Drosophila melanogaster: one gene and its partners. The protein of the gene in region 1 binds, or shares a complex with, the protein of each later gene. Each region holds a gene or a part of one and is shown in the gene's direction. Other genes may lie near its edges.

The links.
Region 2: eIF3h (region 1) and eIF3b share a complex: the UniProt entries of both Drosophila melanogaster proteins name them as parts of the eukaryotic translation initiation factor 3 (eIF-3) complex.
Region 3: eIF3h (region 1) and eIF3m share a complex: the UniProt entries of both Drosophila melanogaster proteins name them as parts of the eukaryotic translation initiation factor 3 (eIF-3) complex.
Region 4: eIF3h (region 1) and eIF3d1 share a complex: the UniProt entries of both Drosophila melanogaster proteins name them as parts of the eukaryotic translation initiation factor 3 (eIF-3) complex.

What each region holds. Positions count from the first base shown.
Region 1 is NT_033779.5:5,050,595-5,055,148, reverse strand, and holds eIF3h (eukaryotic translation initiation factor 3 subunit h), read left to right. Parts: upstream 1-2,065; 5' UTR 2,066-2,413; coding exon 2,414-2,494; intron 2,495-2,834; coding exon 2,835-3,512; intron 3,513-3,578; coding exon 3,579-3,836; 3' UTR 3,837-3,956; downstream 3,957-4,554. Other genes in the region: CG14036 (uncharacterized protein), read left to right, coding at 197-478; senju, read right to left, coding at 771-1,734, 1,793-1,910, 1,981-2,065; CG9121 (uncharacterized protein), read left to right, coding at 4,272-4,491. UniProt on the Drosophila melanogaster protein: Component of the eukaryotic translation initiation factor 3 (eIF-3) complex, which is involved in protein synthesis of a specialized repertoire of mRNAs and, together with other initiation factors, stimulates binding of mRNA and methionyl-tRNAi to the 40S ribosome.
Region 2 is NT_033778.4:17,534,336-17,539,774, forward strand, and holds eIF3b (eukaryotic translation initiation factor 3 subunit b), read left to right. Parts: upstream 1-1,877; 5' UTR 1,878-1,994; intron 1,995-1,997; exon of another isoform or gene 1,998-2,119; 5' UTR 2,120-2,129; coding exon 2,130-2,244; intron 2,245-2,360; coding exon 2,361-2,676; intron 2,677-2,734; coding exon 2,735-4,287; intron 4,288-4,358; coding exon 4,359-4,447; 3' UTR 4,448-4,728; downstream 4,729-5,439. Other genes in the region: patronin, read right to left, coding at 491-520; Cc2d2a (Coiled-coil and C2 domain containing 2A), read left to right, coding at 4,987-5,439. UniProt on the Drosophila melanogaster protein: RNA-binding component of the eukaryotic translation initiation factor 3 (eIF-3) complex, which is involved in protein synthesis of a specialized repertoire of mRNAs and, together with other initiation factors, stimulates binding of mRNA and methionyl-tRNAi to the 40S ribosome.
Region 3 is NT_033778.4:14,162,514-14,166,946, reverse strand, and holds eIF3m (eukaryotic translation initiation factor 3 subunit m), read left to right. Parts: upstream 1-2,121; 5' UTR 2,122-2,415; coding exon 2,416-2,460; intron 2,461-2,576; coding exon 2,577-2,756; intron 2,757-2,810; coding exon 2,811-3,749; 3' UTR 3,750-3,881; downstream 3,882-4,433. Other genes in the region: CG8323 (uncharacterized protein), read right to left, coding at 277-804, 1,223-1,358, 1,422-1,669; O-fut1 (O-fucosyltransferase 1), read right to left, coding at 4,221-4,433. UniProt on the Drosophila melanogaster protein: Component of the eukaryotic translation initiation factor 3 (eIF-3) complex, which is involved in protein synthesis of a specialized repertoire of mRNAs and, together with other initiation factors, stimulates binding of mRNA and methionyl-tRNAi to the 40S ribosome.
Region 4 is NT_033777.3:23,678,150-23,682,980, forward strand, and holds eIF3d1 (eukaryotic translation initiation factor 3 subunit d1), read left to right. Parts: upstream 1-1,889; 5' UTR 1,890-2,041; coding exon 2,042-2,240; intron 2,241-2,362; coding exon 2,363-2,998; intron 2,999-3,067; coding exon 3,068-3,360; intron 3,361-3,436; coding exon 3,437-3,991; 3' UTR 3,992-4,168; downstream 4,169-4,831. Other genes in the region: GILT3 (Gamma-interferon-inducible lysosomal thiol reductase 3), read left to right, coding at 1-15, 89-202; GILT2 (Gamma-interferon-inducible lysosomal thiol reductase 2), read left to right, coding at 819-878, 945-1,109, 1,235-1,528, 1,587-1,691; CG16710 (uncharacterized protein), read left to right, coding at 4,354-4,429, 4,621-4,831. UniProt on the Drosophila melanogaster protein: mRNA cap-binding component of the eukaryotic translation initiation factor 3 (eIF-3) complex, which is involved in protein synthesis of a specialized repertoire of mRNAs and, together with other initiation factors, stimulates binding of mRNA and methionyl-tRNAi to the 40S ribosome.

The sequences.
Region 1 (4,554 bases):
GTCTGCTCAGTGTGACCCTATATTCATCGGGGGTATTCCGTATAAGGTCAATATCTTGACAGCTGGTTTGAAAAATAAATAAATCGAAAATTCCTTACTTCCGATAACACAACCGATAACTAAAACTTTAAAACATAGCGGTACCTTAAGCTTTATGAATTTGTTGTTTTGACAAACGGCTCTTGACTTTTTCAAAATGTCCGATTTCGAGTACGGAATTTGCCCTTACGACAAATCGCACCGCATCTTGCTCTTCCGGATGCCCAAGCACTTAATTAAGTGCGAGAAGAACTACTGTGGACCGCCGCTGCAGACCTGCAAGTACAACGCCACACACCGAGTCCAGGACATGGAGAAGCATCTGAAGGAGTGTGACTACTATCTCCGCAGCATCGAAAACCAGGCGGTGCAGATAGCGCTTCGTAGTCGCATACCGCCCAAACAGGAAGATGGACATGATGTGGACACACCATTTTAGGCTAAGACAAGCAGGCATCCAAATATACCATGTACATATGTGATAGTATATGAACCATAAAATAAAAAGCTTCTTGAAGAAGCATGCACAATATTCGTTTGATTGCATTTATGTTCTGATTAAAATAAGAATCTTAAACTAGAGGAGCAAAAGTTTTGGTATTTACAAGCCTGTTGCTATTGCATTGCACAAAGCCTGGGGTCAAATACATTCGTCTGGCGTTTAAAACATTTGCAGGCACTTTTCCACAACTATTTACAGTCTAAGATTACGTCTAGGACAAGCTACAGCATTACACCATATCGAGGTCCGATTCTGCCGCTTCCTCGTCGATCAGCTTTCGTTTATCCGTTGATTTGGTCGTGGCATCACTTAAATTGGACAGCGGACGCACCTTGCCCAAATTAACCACCGGGCTTTGGGTGTAGAGATAGATGGCGTAGGATACAACCGCGATGGCCAGCGCGGTGTTCATGTAAATGGGTATGGAGAAGAGGAAGTAGCATAGGACTGCCGTGAAGAGCAACTCCAGAGCGCTCGCGAAGGTCTTTAGAATGGAGTTCATGTACTTGAGGAAGAAACTCGTGACAATGCCAATAGCCGCATTGTTAACAATAATGATTAGCACGCTAAAGCGCATAATACTGCCCAGATTCTGCGGACTAAAGGCATCAAGGAGCTCGCCGCGCAGCAAGAGGATGACTGCATTGCAGACAATCGAGTCCAGGTACATGAAGACATTCTGTACAAAGATATTCACATCGGCTCCCTTATCTTTAAGCAGATACTCATTGTAAACGCCCGCCAGACAAGAGCAAATTGTCTGTGCCAGAATGAAGACGGCACTCAGGCTAAAATCGAAGCCGGACATGTTCTTGCCGTGAGCGTGCGTCTCTGCAGAAGTTGTTTTATTATGTGATTGCAGCTGCTGCTGTATGGCTGCGGACTCGCTGTCATCATTCGCATCGCTGTAGAAGCTGCCGAAATCGACCTGCTTCATCATACAGCCGAGTGTCAGCAGTATGAGGGAGATCCATTGCCTTTGCGACAGGTACTTCTTGAAGATAATTTGGAATAGTATGCCCGTGACAACGACACGTAGCTGCAGTAGCAGATAGTAGGTGGTGGGATCGAATGTGGCCAAGTTGACAAAGGCCAAATTGTTGTACAGGCAGTAGAGAAAGGCGGGCACCATGTACAAGCCCAATACATTCCGATCCTTCTGAACATCGCGCACCAGGGAGCGTAGGTTGTTGCTGTGAATGAAATCGCGGTTTAATAGCGAGACAAAGGAGCGCCTCCACTCCTACTCACTCTCGGCAATACAGACAGGTGGAGACTATCAATTTAAAGACCTCGGTTAGCAGCACAACCGTGACGGTATTGTAGCCATAGGAGTTATTCGATTCCTGAGATGCTGTGACAAAGATGCCTGCAAAATAGACAGGAATTAGGGTGCGGCTTTGGCTTGCGTAAAAAGCCTTAATAAGGCAGCTGCATACCCTGTCCTATGAATAGGGACATGTACAACAGGAAGATCACAAATGTGAGCTTGGTGGGGAACAATTCACGCCAATTAGTTGACATTTCTGCGGTCTTCGTACTGCCAGCGTTGCGTTGCTAATGCGAAGAGAACTAAGACTAGCTACAAGTTGCGGCAACCGCAGTTATCAGTACCGTTCCGCTCGTTCGTGACAAGTGGGCCGTTTCTCGGTTTTCTAGGAAGTACAATTTTGAGTTTGTTTCTGTTGCTTTTCCACTGATAAACAAAATATATTTTGGGCCTTTTTTTATCGCTCGCCCGAACAGCTGATTTTAAAGCAGTGCACGCTTTTCAACACTTCAACCCACACAAAAATTGTGGTGTTGCGAAACGCCCTTTTACCACTGCAGCCGAGTTCACGTCGTGGGTCTTTTCGCTTACAATTCGTCAACATGGCAAATCGCGCAAATCGTCATGCTGCTCGCACCGAGGATTCGGATAATACCATTAACTACGTCCAATGCGACGGACTGGTGAGTAGTGCTGTTGGCCAAAAGACCTGGCCGAGATTGGCCCGTGGGAACCGGCGCGAAAGCCGGAAAAGTTAATGCCACGCGCTGTCTCAGAAATTTGCGTGCTTTGTGTGTGTTTGTATGGGTGTTCGTGAGGACATGGGCGTAGAGCTATAAGGAAAAGGGGGCCGGTCTCTTCATTACCATAGCACAAAAAACTTCAGTCAAATGTTTTCTTCAGAGAAACTATTAAAAGAAAGTCCGAAATATATCTACTTTCCACGCCCCTGTTCAAATGCAAATAGTTGTCTGTCGCTAATTGATTTTGGAACATAATTACTACGATCACTTTACCTTGCAGGCCGTCATGAAGATGGTGAAGCACTGCCATGAGGAGTCGAGCAACATGGACCTCGCCCAGGGCGCCCTGCTCGGTCTGGTGGTAGACAAGTGCCTGGAGATCACCAACTGCTTCCCGTTTCCCAAGAGCGGCGATGAGACCATGGACGAGGAGATGTACCAGCTGACCGTGATGCGTCGCCTGCGTCGCGTCAACGTAGATCATCTCCATGTGGGCTGGTACCAGAGCTCCGACGTGGGCAACAGCCTGTCAATGGCTCTGTTGGAATCGCAGTACCACTACCAGACCAGCATTGAAGAGTCCGTCGTTGTCGTCTACGATACGCAGAAGTCATCCCGCGGATTCCTGTGCTTGAAGGCCTACCGCCTTACTCCGCAGGCCATTCAGATGTACAAGGATGGCGACTTCACTCCAGAGGCATTCCGCACCCTGAAGGTCGGCTACGAGAACCTCTTCGCCGAGATTCCCATTGTGATCAAGAACTCGCCGCTGACCAACATTATGATGAGCGAGCTGAACGAGCTGCTGCCCGAGGACAAGGGGCACAACTTCCTGGACCTGGGCACCGCCACCGTATTGGAGAACCAAATGCGTAGCCTGATCGAGCGCGTCGACGAGTTGTACCAGGAGGCAGTGCGCTATAACAAGTACCAGCAGGTGGTCTTCAAGCAGGATACGGTACGTAGCAATATAATTAAATATGTAAAAATTCCTAATCGCTTTCCTTGCATTTATATTTTTTAGGAGAAGCACCGTGCTCTGGCTAAGCTGGCCGCCGAGAACGCCGTTCGCACATCGAAGGGAGAGCCCACGGTGCCAGAGGAGGAAGTGATCAAACAGTTCCGCCCCATGACTGCGCCCAACCGCCTGACGGCCACCATAACCTCTGGCCAGATCAATACCCACGCCCAGCATATCGCACAATTCTGTTCGCAATCGCTGGCCAAACTCTTCATCACGGAATCGCTGCAAATTGCCAAGGAAGCAAAGGAAACCAAATAGATTAGCTAATGTTAAGCGTTTTTTAAGCTGAGGCAACAACATTCACTACCCACAAACATAGCAACTGCACACACAGACGTCGAAAATAAACCAAACAAGCGATGAGTGGGCTTGGAAGCGAACTGCCAGCTGATTTCTTCTTTATTGTACTCTCCATTTGCTCAATAGAATGGCCAATTCAAACCGCCCCAAAAAAAGAAAACCACCACCCGCTATGCAGCCAAAAATTGGTACTGCTTCTGCGCACGCCGGATGTTTGGTTTCACTTCTCGATGAGACTTTCCGGGGGAGTGTTGCTGCCACTGACGACATCGACGCACTTTTCACACCACCCCACAAGCAGCTGCTTATCATTTGGTTTGTTCTTTTCGCTTCGCCTTTTCGCTAACCAGCTTCAGTTAGCCTAACTAACTAAATTACTAACCCGATGGCAAAATGCTGTCCTACGACCTCAACGAACGCCTGCTAACCGCCGTACAGAGCGGAGATTTCGAGCAGGCTCTGGGCTGCATCATGCAAGGTGCCCAGGCCTCGTATGTATCGCCCACTTGCGGACGCACTGCCGTGGGCACGGCGGCCATTCTGGGCGATGCCGAACTGTTGGAGCTGCTGCTTCAATCCTGCGAGGAGCCCGAGCTGAATGTCTTTCATCAGTGTGAGTTTTCCTTCCACTGGTTCGTTCTGAAAACAAACGAAACTAACTTTCGGAAAATTTAAT
Region 2 (5,439 bases), on another chromosome or scaffold:
CCTTTGCGCCTGGCATTCGCATGCGTAAGCCGTTTTTTTTTTTTTTTATTATTTGTTTTTTCTTTTCATATTTAGCGATTAGGTCATGCAACAGCGGCCAGCTCAAAGCGAGAAAAACGATAACAAATGCCTAATCTTGCAGGGGTAAAGCGTATTTTCCGGCTTCGATTTTTCAGCTGCAGTTTTATGAATGGATGTTGGCTGCTGGCATTATATTCCGATCAGCACAAGCACACCCCACACAACTACCGGTTGTAGTTGTTTGCATTGGCCATCGAAACCAGTCGATTGGTAAGTAGGTGTCGGTCGCATACTAAGCGCTAAGTTGCCGAGCGGCATTACCTCAGCGCACCATTTTGGCCAAGAGAGTAGGTGTTTAGGCCCGCTTCGCCTCCGTTGGAATGTTAATGAGTGCTTTTTGTTTTTAGCTCAAATATGAGTTTATTTTATGTGTAACTTTGTACACGGGAAGCCCTCTTGCTGCGCTTACCTGTCGTATTTCCTGTGTTTCGACATCCATGCTGACGGATTTTCCTGCGACGGACTCCGGCTCTCCGACGCCCGCCACTTCACTTTCCGCACTTTTTGCACTTTTCGCACTCTATGTTTGACCACAACACACCGCTTTTCCTTTTTCACTTGTCTCTTTTCTGCGTGCGAGCGAGTGCGTGTGTGTGTGAGTGTGGCTTGGAGTTTTCCTCAGCTTAGGTGATTTTCACTTGGAGCCTAAACACAAGAAAATACAAAAACACGATTGGCACTTTGTCAAACCACTTGGAAATCGAGAAAAATAACTAATTGCGCACACGCATTGTCAGCGAATTTTTTTCGGCGGGCGGGGCAGGGAAAAAGCTTAAAAGGCAGGCGGGCAGCCGAAAGAAAATGTGAATCATTCACGGAGCGCGACGGTGGGTGGTGGGCGGGGGCGGGGCTGCAGTGCGACAATAACAGAGAACACTTTACAGTTGCCTGTTCGCTTTTCTCGAGATGCTGCTGCATCAGCTGTTGCGATTTGCTCGTCTGGACAAGCCATTTACGCACTTTTCAACCCATCGCAGTGTTCAACCGCCCGTCCATGGTATAATTAATGTTTTCCCAATCCGTTTTAAGCCAGCAAGTTTCCAATTTTCTTTGGGGAACCGCCGACTTAAGTAAATGAAAACATTTTCCTTCGCCTCGCACTGTTGTTGTCCGCCGCCCGCTGTTTGCCTCTCTGTCGCTCCCGCTGCACTGGCAGTGCTGGTGTGCGACACTGCTAGTGTGGTACTGCTCGCACCCACAGCGAACGAGTGGTGACCGAAAAAGCTGTGTATGTGCGCGCGGGTGTGTGTGCGAGAGTGAGTGTGGGGCCTACGCACATTTGGGATGTTTTTCGCACTGATTTGCTGCACCGACGACTTTCGCATGCATTTCACACGGTTCGCGCTCGTCCCCGCTGCATTTTTCAACAGCTTTAATACTACAAATTGGGCTTAAATTGAGAAAATCACGGACACCGATCTGCTCTAAAATCTTACAAATTTTCATGTGAGAGATGGAACCCCAGCCGATGATTACTCGATGCAATCGGTTTTGGCTTATCGGCAACAAATCGATTGATGCCTAATTCTAAAAAATCGGTTGAACATGCTTCAAAACTTCCATCGCTAGAGTTGCAAGCGGAAAAAATGTATGTATTATTAAAGAACGATTAAACTAGTTGTTATAGGTTATACTTTGCTTAATACATATTGACTAATATTAAATAATTGTATGTACATGAAATACAAAATGATAATATTTAGCCGTTTTAACACATTATCACCAGATAAGCACCTAAGATTCTGTTGTTAAGGATCCATAAGAGAAGGATCCAGATATTATTGTCATTGCTGTCAAGCAAACATATGCAGTATAAATACAAATAAATCTAAGAAACAGTAAATTAAAATATATGCATGTACATATGTATTTATAAATATTAATAAAAGTTACCCCGCCGCGTTATCAACGCAGTGAGTAGTTGGCAACACTAACCATTCACACAAAACAGTGTTTCGCCTTGACTGGCAAATGCGGCATCTCGCTCTTCCTTTTTCACTTTGTGCTTGTGTGTTTAATGACGGAAAATTGCAAATAGATCGCTGAATATGGCCAAGAAGAAAAGCGAGGAGCACTCCGGTACGGATGCGAACGACAGTGATTACCAGGAGGAGCCGAACTTTGACGATCCGCCCGGGTTCGTGGACAACATTAGTGATGAAGGTGAAAATCACCGACTGCCAGCGCATCACACGCGGCGATCTAACCTCAATCCGTGTGCGGTGTGCGAAAGTTTGCATTTGCATATCTAATTAAATATATTCGTGATGCACTTTCAGATCTGCTGGGCGACATGTTGGCCCAGCGCCCCTCGGAGGCCGATGGCGTCGAGAGTGTGGTGGTAGTGGACAATATCCCAAAGGTGGAGCCGGTGCGCCTGGAGAAGCTGAAGTTGGTCATCAACAAGCTGTTTTCGAACTACGGAGAAATCGTCAATGTGGTCTATCCCGTCGACGAGGAGGGCAAGACCAAGGGCTACGCCTTCATGGAGTACAAGCAGGCCAGACAGGCGGAGGAAGCCGTCAAGAAGCTCAACAATCATCGCCTAGACAAAAACCACACCTTTGCCGTCAATCTCTTCACCGATTTCCAAAAGTAAGTTCTCCTTGCATCCGCATCAAGCAATGAGATTAATAAAATTTAATCTTGGCAGGTACGAAAACATCCCCGAGAAGTGGGAGCCGCCAACCGTGCAGACCTTCAAAGTGCAGAGCGATCTATACAACTTCATCAATGACCCGGACACTTATGACCAGTACTGCGTGGCAGCGGAGACCGCTCCCAACTGCGTGCAGGTTGGTTTCTGGCAAAACGTATTGCCCGAACCCTTTGAGCTGGAGACTCGCGAACGCTTCACCGACACCTTCGTCAAGTGGTCGCCCCTGGGTACTTATGTAGTCACCTTCCACAAACCCGGTGTGGCCATCTGGGGTGGCAGTAGCTTCCAGAAGATTCAGAAGTTTCCCCATCCTGGTACCCAATTCGTTGAGTTTTCGCCCTGCGAGAATTACCTAGTGACTTACGGACCGACACCCACGGGCCAAAAGATCATCATCTGGGACATTCGCACTGGAGCCGAGAAACGTTCGTTTGTTGCCGATGGCATGTCGGTTCTTTCTATGTTCCGCTGGTCGCACGACGACAAGTTTGTGGCCCGCATGGGCGAGAATTCGATCCACATCTACGAGACACCCTCTTTCTATCTTCTGGACCTGAAGTCCATTAAGATTCCCGGCATTCGTGGCTTCTCTTGGTCCCCCACAGACAACGTGATTGCCTACTGGGTGGAGGAGCAGAACCAAATACCCGCCCGCGTTACCCTGATGGAGATCCCCAAGAAGCGTGAGATCCGTAACAAGAACCTTTTCCATGTGGCCGATTGCAAGTTACATTGGCAAAAGTCCGGCGACTATCTGTGCGTTAAGGTAGATCGTTACTCAAAGTTGAAGAAGGATAAGAAGGACCTGGACGTCAAGTTTCTGGGCATGTTCTACAACTTTGAGATCTTCCACATGCGCGAGAAGGAGATTCCCGTCGACTCTGTGGAGATTCGTGAGCTTATTTTGGCCTTTGCCTGGGAGCCCGTCGGCAACAAGTTCTCCATCATTCACGGCGAGACCAACTCGTCGAATGTGAGCTTCTACGAGGTGAACAAGGGCGTTAAGCCCAGCTTGGTGAAGCGTCTAGAAAAGAAGTCATGCACACATCTGTTCTGGTCGCCACGCGGTCAGTTTATCGTAATGGCCAACCTCACCATGGGTACCTTCGAGTTTGTGGACTCCACCAACGATTACATCATCACGGCATCGCCCGATCATTTCCGCGCTTCCGAGGTCGAGTGGGATCCCACTGGACGCTACGTTGTGACTGGTGTCTCGTCATGGAAGGTGAAAGAGGATACCGGCTTCAACATGTACACGTTCCAGGGCCGCATCATCAAGCGTACCATTCTTAAGAACTTTGTGCAGTTCTTGTGGCGCCCGCGTCCTCCCACCCTGCTTAGCGAGGAGAAGCAGAAGGAGATCAAGAAGAACTTGAAGAAGTACTACGCTGCCTTCGAACAAAAGGATCGCCTGCGCCTTACCCGTGCCTCCAAGGAGCTGCTCGAGAAGCGCTCGCAGCTGCGCGAGACCTTTATGGAGTACCGCAACAAGCGTATTGCCGAGTGGGCGGAGCAGAAGAGTCGTCGCATCATGCTGCGAGGGCGTAAGTATTCTCAAGAAACAAATTGTTTAAAATTTGCCGATTTCTATATGTATATTATCCTTACGCAACAGATGTGGACACAGACAACCTGGAAACTGACGAAGTGGATGAAGAAATTGTTGAATTTTTAGTCAAGGAAGAAGTCACTCTGCTGGAGTAGACGACCCCCTCAACGCCACTCCAACGCTGTCGTCCCCTGCCTACTTCGAAGCGATCCTGTCGCCTCACATTTCGTGTCCGGGACGCGTCTACGCCCTGGTTGATGCCAGGGCCCTAATCCATTATCCAATACAGTAGCACGCGTCTGCTTGCAAACAACTCTAAGCGGAACCTTTGCCTATACATACAACATACGAACATACGAATTATAAGCCCAAAAGTAAACTTCAACTCAATCAGCAATTGCGAACATAACATCTAATTAAATGACCTTTCTTGCGCACACCCCTCCTCCTTCCAGTATGCCTAATAGTAGATTTGCCATGTATTTGTATGTAAACAGCAAAAAGAAAACGAAAACAAAATACGTTTGGGGTATGTTTTTTTGATGTTTCATTCAAGGCGATAGACGATAGATAGCTGGTGGTGAGCAGGTGTGTAACAGTGGTCAAGTCAGTTGCCCATGGCAACCAGTTGAAAGGTCAAAGCAGGCGGAATATTGTTTGCCTGGCATTTTCCGTTTGTAATAACCTATGTAACATGGAAGCCGCTCTATCCAGGAAGACTGCAAAGAAGAAACGCAAGACCCATACCACCAGAGGGTATCGGAAAAGGGAGCAGGAGGTGCAAAAGTTGATAAGGGCAACGGAAGGCAGAATCTCTGGTCCAGAACACGACATGGAGGCACTTAGCCTGCAGTTCTTTCATGGATTTGAGGGTGAGATGCAGCAGGAGAACGATTTCGCTGTTGAAGATTGCCAGGAGAGTGACGAAGATTCGGGTGGGGAACTGGCTGAGGAACCAACGGATTCGCCCTCCCAGACATTTATACATATCGATCTGCACGATCCTCCTCTGGCCTGGGGTCAGCTATTCAAGCAGCGCCACTACTATGATGAGAGCTTACTTTACCGACCGAGTAATACCCTGCACTTTCAGTTGCATTTGAGCGATTTGAGTGAGTTGAAGGACTCCCAGATCCGTATGCTGAAC
Region 3 (4,433 bases), on another chromosome or scaffold:
GCTACAGGAAGAGCTCTTAAATTAGCTTAATGAAGGCACAAGTTGGTTCTGGGGCTTTGCTAATCTAAGAGATTGGAACTAGGACATTAAGCTAACTCACTAAAGACTAAAGCCAGATTTAGACAAACAAATTGTATGCGGCGGCACTTGCATATCAAATTTGTTTATCAAAGCTTGGCTTAATAATAAAAAGCAATGTGTATATTTCCGGGTGGTAAAAACGATTTTAACAATTTTGTACTTAAATTAATGCTACCTAGCCAGTGATCTTTGGGGTCATTGATTACTATACTTTGTGCGTACGGCGACCAGCTCGTCAAAGAATAGCAGCACAAGGGTTGAGTGGGGGGCAATGCGCAAGTAGTTGGCCCAGAACCCCTTGTACATACCATAAACGCCCTCTGATCGTAGGATTTTCACAAAGCAGTCAAGCCAACCGCGATAAAGAAGACCGCGTCCTTCGGCGTCTACGCCCTGATTGTACAGACGCGTGGTGATTACATCTGGCGGCGTTATGGCCACCGACATAATGGATCCGGCTATCAAGCCAGCCGAGAAGGAGTTCAACGTGGGCTGGGTCACCAGATCGTACTGGACCAACAGGGCTTTGGTCTTACCAAAGGTGGCTATCTGGGCACCTGATCCCAAAGCCGCCCTGGGCAATGCGGCCACAGATCCTCTCCACAGTCCTCGTACTCCATTCCTGGAGTAGATCTGACGCAGGGCATCTGTCATGGAAGTATGGGCATGTTGGTAGCCAACGGCGATTTGCTTGGCGGCTTGTGATTGCAGCTGAGTTTTGATCTGGATGCAAAAGAAAGGACCATAAATAATAATATAGAAATATAGACATTGTACATAAGAGAATTGACTGTGATAATATGTTAATGTTTACAATACTTATTAAGTTATTTAGCGAATATTTTTCTGTTTCTAGATCTTGAAAATGTCTTGGTATAAATAGGCTAACAATAAATGCGTTATGTCATAAAGTAATAAGCAATGCAAACAACCATAAACAGTCAAAAAATATGGAATATTTGGAAGTATAATACTTTCTCCCTGGATATCTTGAAATGGTAGTATTTAGATACTGATGGACAATTGCCAATAAAGTCTCTTATCTGTGGAAGGTCCATAATGCTGATGAGCACGCGGCTCATTTAGATAAACTATGTATTTGTTTATGTAACCTCCCGCAGCATTCCCACAATTGGCGTACCAGGAAAAATGGACTGGAGAAGTAGCACCCCACGACGCCGCCGATGGCGCCCCACAGTAGTCCCATTCCGTAGGACACCTCACCCTTCCGGTTGTGCATCCACCGCCTCTCCATTGCCTCCGAATAAATGCTGAGCCTGGCGAATGTAAATTCAAGATGATTAATAATTATAAAATATAGCTACTAAATAATTCCCCACCGGAAGGAATTGATGATGAACTGGAAGTACAAGGCCGGTGCGAGGCCCTTTTGGAGCCCCGTAATGCCATCATTTTTGGCCACCGTAATGAAGGCATTGACAATCCCCTTGTAGGGCTCCACATAGGTACCCCGTGCCGCCAGCTCGCCCTGCAGCTGGATCCGTGTCTTGATCACCTCGATGGGATTGGTGAAGAAGGTGGCCCCCACGGAGGCCAGGCCGCCCAGAACAAAATCCGATGTAGCCATGTAATCACGAGTTCTGCTGAGGATAGTGGTTGACTAGTAACGGTTGTACCGCCTGCTGCGGAATCTCTGTGGCTCTAGGAAGCCGCACGCTGCGTGTGTGTCGTGTATTTCATAATTCTCCGCCCCGATTAGCTGGCATTACTCCTGCTCTTCTCGCCCGTTATACAAATATAATATAAATTTGGCGAGCAATATAACTTAGTAGCAGCGGAGTTGCCAGACTGTCGCCAAATTAACAATTTAACAAAAATCGTGTCATTTTGCTTAACTGTAAAGTGATAAATGTAAAATAAATAACTGCTGGATGGTAAATTTAAAATTCAGGAGAAACGGGTTTTAGAACGTTAGTAACGGTACGGCTAAGAAGTCACTTAGTGACTTATATGTTTCAGAAGATCCGGGAACACTACTTTTGCCCACATTTATTGTTAGCTAGAGTCCCGTCAAAACATTTATAAAATTGATTTTTATGTCAGCATTAATACACTTGCAAAGCCATAACTATTTTAATTTTATTGAACTGAATGAATTTCAGAGGAATATTATATATTTTAAGTGGCCACGTTAACGTCATCTTAATTTAATTCGGTCAATTGTTTGAGAGCATCGCTATTAGCGGGAAACGGACCAGGCCGGCAGCACTGGTCGCTCTCTTTCCTTTCGAGCTGTCAAAGCGCCGAAGACGTGTGTGCGTGTTATTTTCAGCTGAATTTGTTTAAAAAAGTGGAATAACATTTAACAAAACCATGACTTCGCATCCGGTTTTCATAGACCTGTCCCTGGACGAGCAGGTAGAGTGAAAGTGCCCTGTTTTAGCCATGAATTCGGGCGGCGCCTTGCCCGAATTGAGGTTATGTCTTCCTCTTGCTGCAAAACAAAACTAATATTATTCGCAATTTATTAAAAGGTGCAAGAGCTGCGCAAGTATTTCAAGAAGCTGGGAGCCGAAATCTCATCGGAGAAGTCCAATAAAGGTGTGGAGGATGATTTGCACAAGATCATCGGCGTCTGCGACGTTTGCTTTAAGGATGGTGAGCCCTCGCAGATTGATGGAATTCTAAACAGCATTGTGTCCATCATGATCACGGTGAGTAATACAGAATACAATATTAGCAACAAAAAATAACCTTCAATATTTCAGATACCCCTGGATCGCGGTGAGAACATTGTCCTGGCCTACTGCGAGAAGATGACCAAGGCTCCCAATCTTCCATTGGGCAAGGTGTGCCTTCAGTCGTTGTGGCGTCTGTTCAACAACCTGGACACCGCCTCTCCCTTACGCTACCATGTGTACTACCACCTGGTCCAGGTGGCCAAGCAGTGCGAACAGGTGCTGGAGGTCTTCTCAGGTGTGGATCAGCTCAAATCCCAGTTTGCCAACTGCCCACCTTCGTCGGAACAGATGCAGAAGCTGTACCGCCTGCTGCACGACGTGACCAAGGACACCAACCTGGAGCTGTCTTCCAAGGTTATGATTGAGCTGCTGGGCACCTACACGGCGGACAATGCTTGTGTTGCCCGTGAGGATGCCATGAAGTGCATTGTGACTGCCTTGGCCGACCCCAATACATTCCTGCTGGATCCTCTGCTGTCGCTGAAGCCTGTGCGCTTTTTGGAAGGCGACCTCATCCACGACCTGCTGTCCATCTTCGTGTCCGAGAAGCTGCCAGCGTACGTGCAGTTCTACGAGGATCACAGGGAGTTTGTCAACTCGCAAGGATTGAACCATGAGCAGAACATGAAGAAGATGCGTCTGCTGACCTTCATGCAGCTGGCCGAGAGCAGCCCGGAGATGACATTCGAAACGCTTACCAAGGAGCTGCAGATCAACGAAGACGAGGTGGAGCCCTTCGTCATCGAGGTGCTGAAAACAAAGCTGGTACGCGCACGACTAGATCAGGCCAATCAAAAGGTACACATCTCATCGACAATGCACCGAACCTTTGGAGCACCACAATGGGAGCAGCTTCGCGATTTGCTGCAGGCATGGAAGGAGAACCTCAGCACAGTGCGCGAGGGTCTAACGAGCGTCTCCTCGGCGCAACTGGATCTGGCTCGATCCCAGAAGCTGATACACTAGGCGCACCACTTCCAAAAAATTGCACTGATGATGAACAAATGCTGGCCTCGGGGCACTGGAGTGACGACCTAAATTATTTTCAAGAATGCGAGAGGGCTGGATAACTTGAATAAATTTATAAGTAAAATCGGTAGCAAACAAGTGTTTTCATAAATGCGAGGAATACTTTAATAGCTTACAATTAAGTTGTAGTGTTTTTGAAGGCATTTAACGGGTTTCATTAAAATCCTTTTTAAGAATTAAAGCTAAAAGAATAAAACATAAATATACTGATATTCTTTAAAAGCACTAAATATTGGTAACATTCAAAAGTAAATTCATTAAATTTGTAAGTTGAAACTTTTACCTTAACCATTTAAGAAGTGAAGTCCAGAATATTGCTTAATCAATGTAATAAAACTGTCTAGTATTAGGAAAGAAAACCGAAAAATAGCCTATTCGAGTATTTAAGTAGATAATCCTGTTGCTCCATTACAGCTCCTCGTGCACGTTTGTATGCTTACGATCCTTTTCCTTGGGGAATCCCCAGAAGTACGATGGAAAACCGTGCACATCTCGTTCCCTTTTTTCGAATGCCGAGTAAGAGGATATACAGTTGCCGATAAAGTGGTTCGACTGTCCGAGAATGGCCAAGTCCAGGTAAGGATCATCCTCCGGCAGCTTGTGCACACTGATGCCCATGCG
Region 4 (4,831 bases), on another chromosome or scaffold:
ATTGTGTTCGAGAATGTGAGTAACCAACCCAACCAGGCTTACATGATCAAATACCAGACTTAACTTAACATTACCCTCTGATCCGCAGGACTTTGATCCTTACGACCAGAGAAGCATTCGCAACAACTTCGAAAGACACTTCTGTCGGCAGTATCTGAAAAAGTTCAACATCAAACTGCCCACTTGTTCCGCAATTTTGTAAACTTTTATGTAATGTACTGAGTAATTTAACTGTTTCAATGTTCCAAGACCAATAAACAATAATTATAACCAACTGGAGTGTTTGCTTACTCGCTGACTCACTTGGGGCCAATAAAAATTTACATGTGTATAGTATATACATATCAGCTTATCAGTCATGTTTTTGTATACAGATTCTAATCAGAAACAGCTGTCTGGTGGTCTAAAAATAAGATTAAAACCCCGCTGCTCAGTAAGTTTTCCGTAGTCAGCGCATAAATGTAAAGGGGAAAATGCTGGTTGACAGCAGGGGCGTCGAATTGGTTGGCTAGTCACACCCTTTATCTATATATTTATATTAATTTTTTCAAAAGCGGATATATTACAGAAAAATTATAAAAAACAAGCGAAAAGTCACCCTACTATTGCAATACAAATAATTATTTTTTTTTTAACTTATATGATTTTTGAGCCCCCCTTGAGCATTTTCTAACCACGCCACTGGCCGCTTCGAATTTGACGAAACGCAGTGACAACGCTGCGCATTACAAGTCCCGGAATTATTTCAGTGTCGAGCGTTCGCTGGCGTTGAGCGGCCGAATATTTCAAGATCAGCTCGGGATTAAACTGAATTTGCCATGAGGGCGGCTGTCTTTGTGTGTCTGCTGCTGGGATGGGTGGGCGTGGCCACGCCAAGGGTAAGTGACCCAGTTGATCGGACTGAATCCCGAATTGCGACGCTCCCATTGATCGTGACTTTGCAGCGTTTGCGCGGACCGCAAGCTGACCGACTGGCGATCACCCTGTACTACGAAGCATTGTGTCCCTACTGCATGGAGTTCGTGACCACGCAGCTCAATCCCTCGATGGTCCGTCAGGATCGACTTCCATTCACTGATCTTACGCTGGTTCCTTATGGAAATGCCAGGGTAGGTTTCATTTTTCGTAGCTTAAACTAGTAGTTATAGTACAAGTACATAGTATAGCTCAATTTGAAGTTTTAGAGTGTCAATCAGCGTTAATCCGCACTTAAACTTCGCTTAATCCCCTCCAGACGAACGATGACGGAAATGTGGAGTGCCAGCACGGAGTGATGGAGTGCGAATTGAACGCGTGGCACGCCTGCATACTGGAGCACCATGACATTGCCCAATCCCTCAAGCTGATCGCCTGCATGATGAGGGGTAAGAAGAACAGGCTGGAAAAGTGCGCTGACCACTATCAAATCGACGTGGGCGATGTCAAAAATTGCAAGAAAACGCGACAGGTGAACGACATTCTGAGGAAGTACGGCAAGGAAACGGCCAAGGTCTCATTTCAGGGAGTGCCAGCCGTAGCTCTGGATAACGTGAGTTTAAATGCGAAAGAAATTCATGAAATCTAAAATAAAACTTTGTGATTTTAAGGTTTATAACGCGGATCTATCAGCAAACTTAACTGATCATTTTGATGCCATTTTTTGCGCCAAGTATAAGGAAAAGTTCAATAAGCAGCTAAATAATTGTCAATAAATATTGTGTTCATTTAACAATACATTTTTTTATTAAAAAATATTTTTTGCATTTTCTTTGTAATTAAATCGTAAAATCAGGTTCTGAAAAATGAATAGTTCGAATTTTTAGTTTTCCCGCCCAGCAGTGGCGCCATCTATGACAGCATGCTGCCAGACCTTTGAACATTCGCTACGATTTTAGTATTTTTCTTTGGCGGTGGTATATTTCAACGCGACAACGGTCCCACTCAACTATTTTCGCAACACGCGACGATACGAATTTTCCACATTTCTTTGTTGATTTCTGGAAAATCGCTGTATATAGACCGAATAGCCGACTGCAGACTGAGCACCAGGTAAACGCGCGAGATGAGCGAGACCATAAACACCGCGGCTCAGTTCCCGAGCTTCGAGAAGCCGACCGTGCAGTTCAATGAAAAGGGCTGGGGTCCCTGCGAGCTGCCCGATACGTTCAAGGATGTGCCGTACCAGCCGTTCAGCAAGAACGATCGTCTGGGCAAGATCTGCGACTGGACGAATACGTCGAACAACGACAAGAAGTACCAGAGTGAGTTTATTCCCCACCCGAAACCGACCCACAAAATACTAATCGCCGAAAGTGAGGTTAGGTAGGTGTGTCGTGGCATGATATTGTTGCTAACATATTGGTGGTTGGTATTCCATTCGCAGACAAGTATGCCTCCAGCTTTGGCACGGGCATTCAGTACTCGTACTACCATGAGGAGGACGAGACAACCTTCCACCTGGTGGACACGGCCCGCGTCCAGAAGCCGCCGCACCAGCGCGGCCGGTTCCGCAACATGAGGAATTCGCGTTCCGGTCGTGGCAGGAATGCCCGCGGTGGCCTTAATACTCACGGCATGACGACGCTCAGCGGCAAGAATGTAAAGGCCCGCGATCCGCGCCATGGTCGCGGCATGGGCAAGAAGTTCGGTCATCGCGGACCACCACCAAAGATGCGCGAATCTTCGGTGGCCGTCCGCGCCGATTGGGCATCCATCGAGGAGATGGACTTCCCGCGACTCATCAAGCTGTCGCTGCCCAACATCAAGGAGGGCGTCGATATTGTCACCTGCGGCACGTTGGAGTACTACGACAAGACCTACGACCGCATCAATGTGAAGAACGAGAAGCCGCTGCAGAAGATCGATCGCATCGTGCATACGGTGACCACCACAGACGATCCCGTCATCCGGCGTTTGTCTAAGACCGTCGGCAATGTCTTCGCCACGGACGCCATCCTGGCCACCATCATGTGCTCTACGCGATCGAACTATTCCTGGGATATTGTCATCGAGAAAGTTGGTATGTTAAATGAAATACGAAATATAATAATAATAAGAGAAATAAATAATAATTGTAACCTTATTTTAGGCGACAAGGTGTTCATGGACAAGCGTGACCACACCGAGTTCGATCTGTTGACCGTGAACGAGAGCAGCGTGGAACCACCGACCGACGACGACAGCTCATGCAACTCCCCTCGCAACCTGGCCATCGAGGCGACTTTCATTAACCACAACTTTAGCCAGCAGGTGCTTAAGACTGGAGACCAGGAACCCAAATACAAGTTCGAGGAAAGCAACCCTTTCATCAGCGAGGACGAAGATATCCAAGTCGCCAGCGTGGGCTACCGCTACAAGAAGTGGGAGCTGGGAAGCGATATTGTAAGTGTTGCATAATCCAACTTTAAAGTTGGAATATTTTTCTATATTATGTTAAACTATTGTCTTATACTTTTAGGTCCTGGTAGCGCGTTGCGAGCACGATGGTGTCCTGCAGACGCCAAGCGGCGAGCCGCAGTTCATGACTATCAAGGCACTCAACGAGTGGGACTCGAAGTTGGCCAATGGCGTGGAATGGCGTCAAAAGTTGGACACGCAGCGCGGTGCTGTGCTCGCCAACGAGCTGAGGAACAACGCATGCAAGCTGGCCAAGTGGACTGTGCAGGCCGTCCTGGCCGGGTCCGATCAGCTAAAGCTCGGCTATGTGTCGCGTATCAATCCGAGAGATCACTCGCGTCACGTCATCCTCGGCACGCAGCAGTTCAAGCCGCATGAATTTGCCACTCAGATCAACCTGAGCATGGACAACGCCTGGGGAATCCTGAGATGCATCATCGATCTGGTGATGAAGCAGAAGGATGGCAAATACCTGATCATGAAGGACCCCAACAAGCCGATCATCCGTCTGTACGACATCCCAGACAATACTTTCGACTCCGATGACTCGGACGATGGCGAGGGCGATGACGAAGGTTTCCAGCAGGTCTACAACTACGCGCACAACAAGATTTAGACGCCACGCCCCCCTACTCCTGCATCCCTTCCAGTCTTGGGCTCTTTTGCCACAACCCGCTAAGAATAACCACAACTGATGTCCTCTAAAGGAAAAGGTCATGTTATAGGCCCTAGCTTAAGCATTTGTATTCGATTTAAATTCAGATATTTCCTAGTAAATCACAGAGGGCGAAACAATACATGAATTTTTATTGGTCCAGGTCTAATGCCGGGTACTTGTGATAAAAACTTTCGACTGAAACACCGAGGTCTTGTACGTAAATGACTGACTCATTTCCCGGACTCATATATAGTAAGCTGATTGTGCGTGTCGGGCATCTAGTTAAGATTTAGACATTGTTTAAACTCTGACGGTTAAAGATGGTCTTCCTACAAAGAGTGTACATATCCTTCCTGGTCCTGCATACTCAATTGCTGATGTACCTGGCTGAGTCTGGTAATATATGTTGCAAGTACTCCACATTGTATACGTTATAACATTCAAGAAAATGATTCATTTGGATATGGGTATTTCCTTGAATTTTAAAATATAAATAGCTTTGTTTCGTCCAATCATTATCTAAACATCCAATTAAAATGACTCACATAATATAATATTTATTAATATCCAATTCTTTACTGTATCAGAATATCCGCCTTGTAATCTGGATGAGAAATGCATTAGTCTAGCCCGCTGCACATCACTCTTGCCCTTTCTGAAGCCCCACAACATGACGCCAGCCGAGAAGGCGGTATTCGAGGACAGATATTGCGGCTATGGCCCCAAGGGGCAGGAATTATTGGACAGAGTTCTCATCTGCTGCCCAAATATGGGACACATTTTGCCAAATACCCAGAT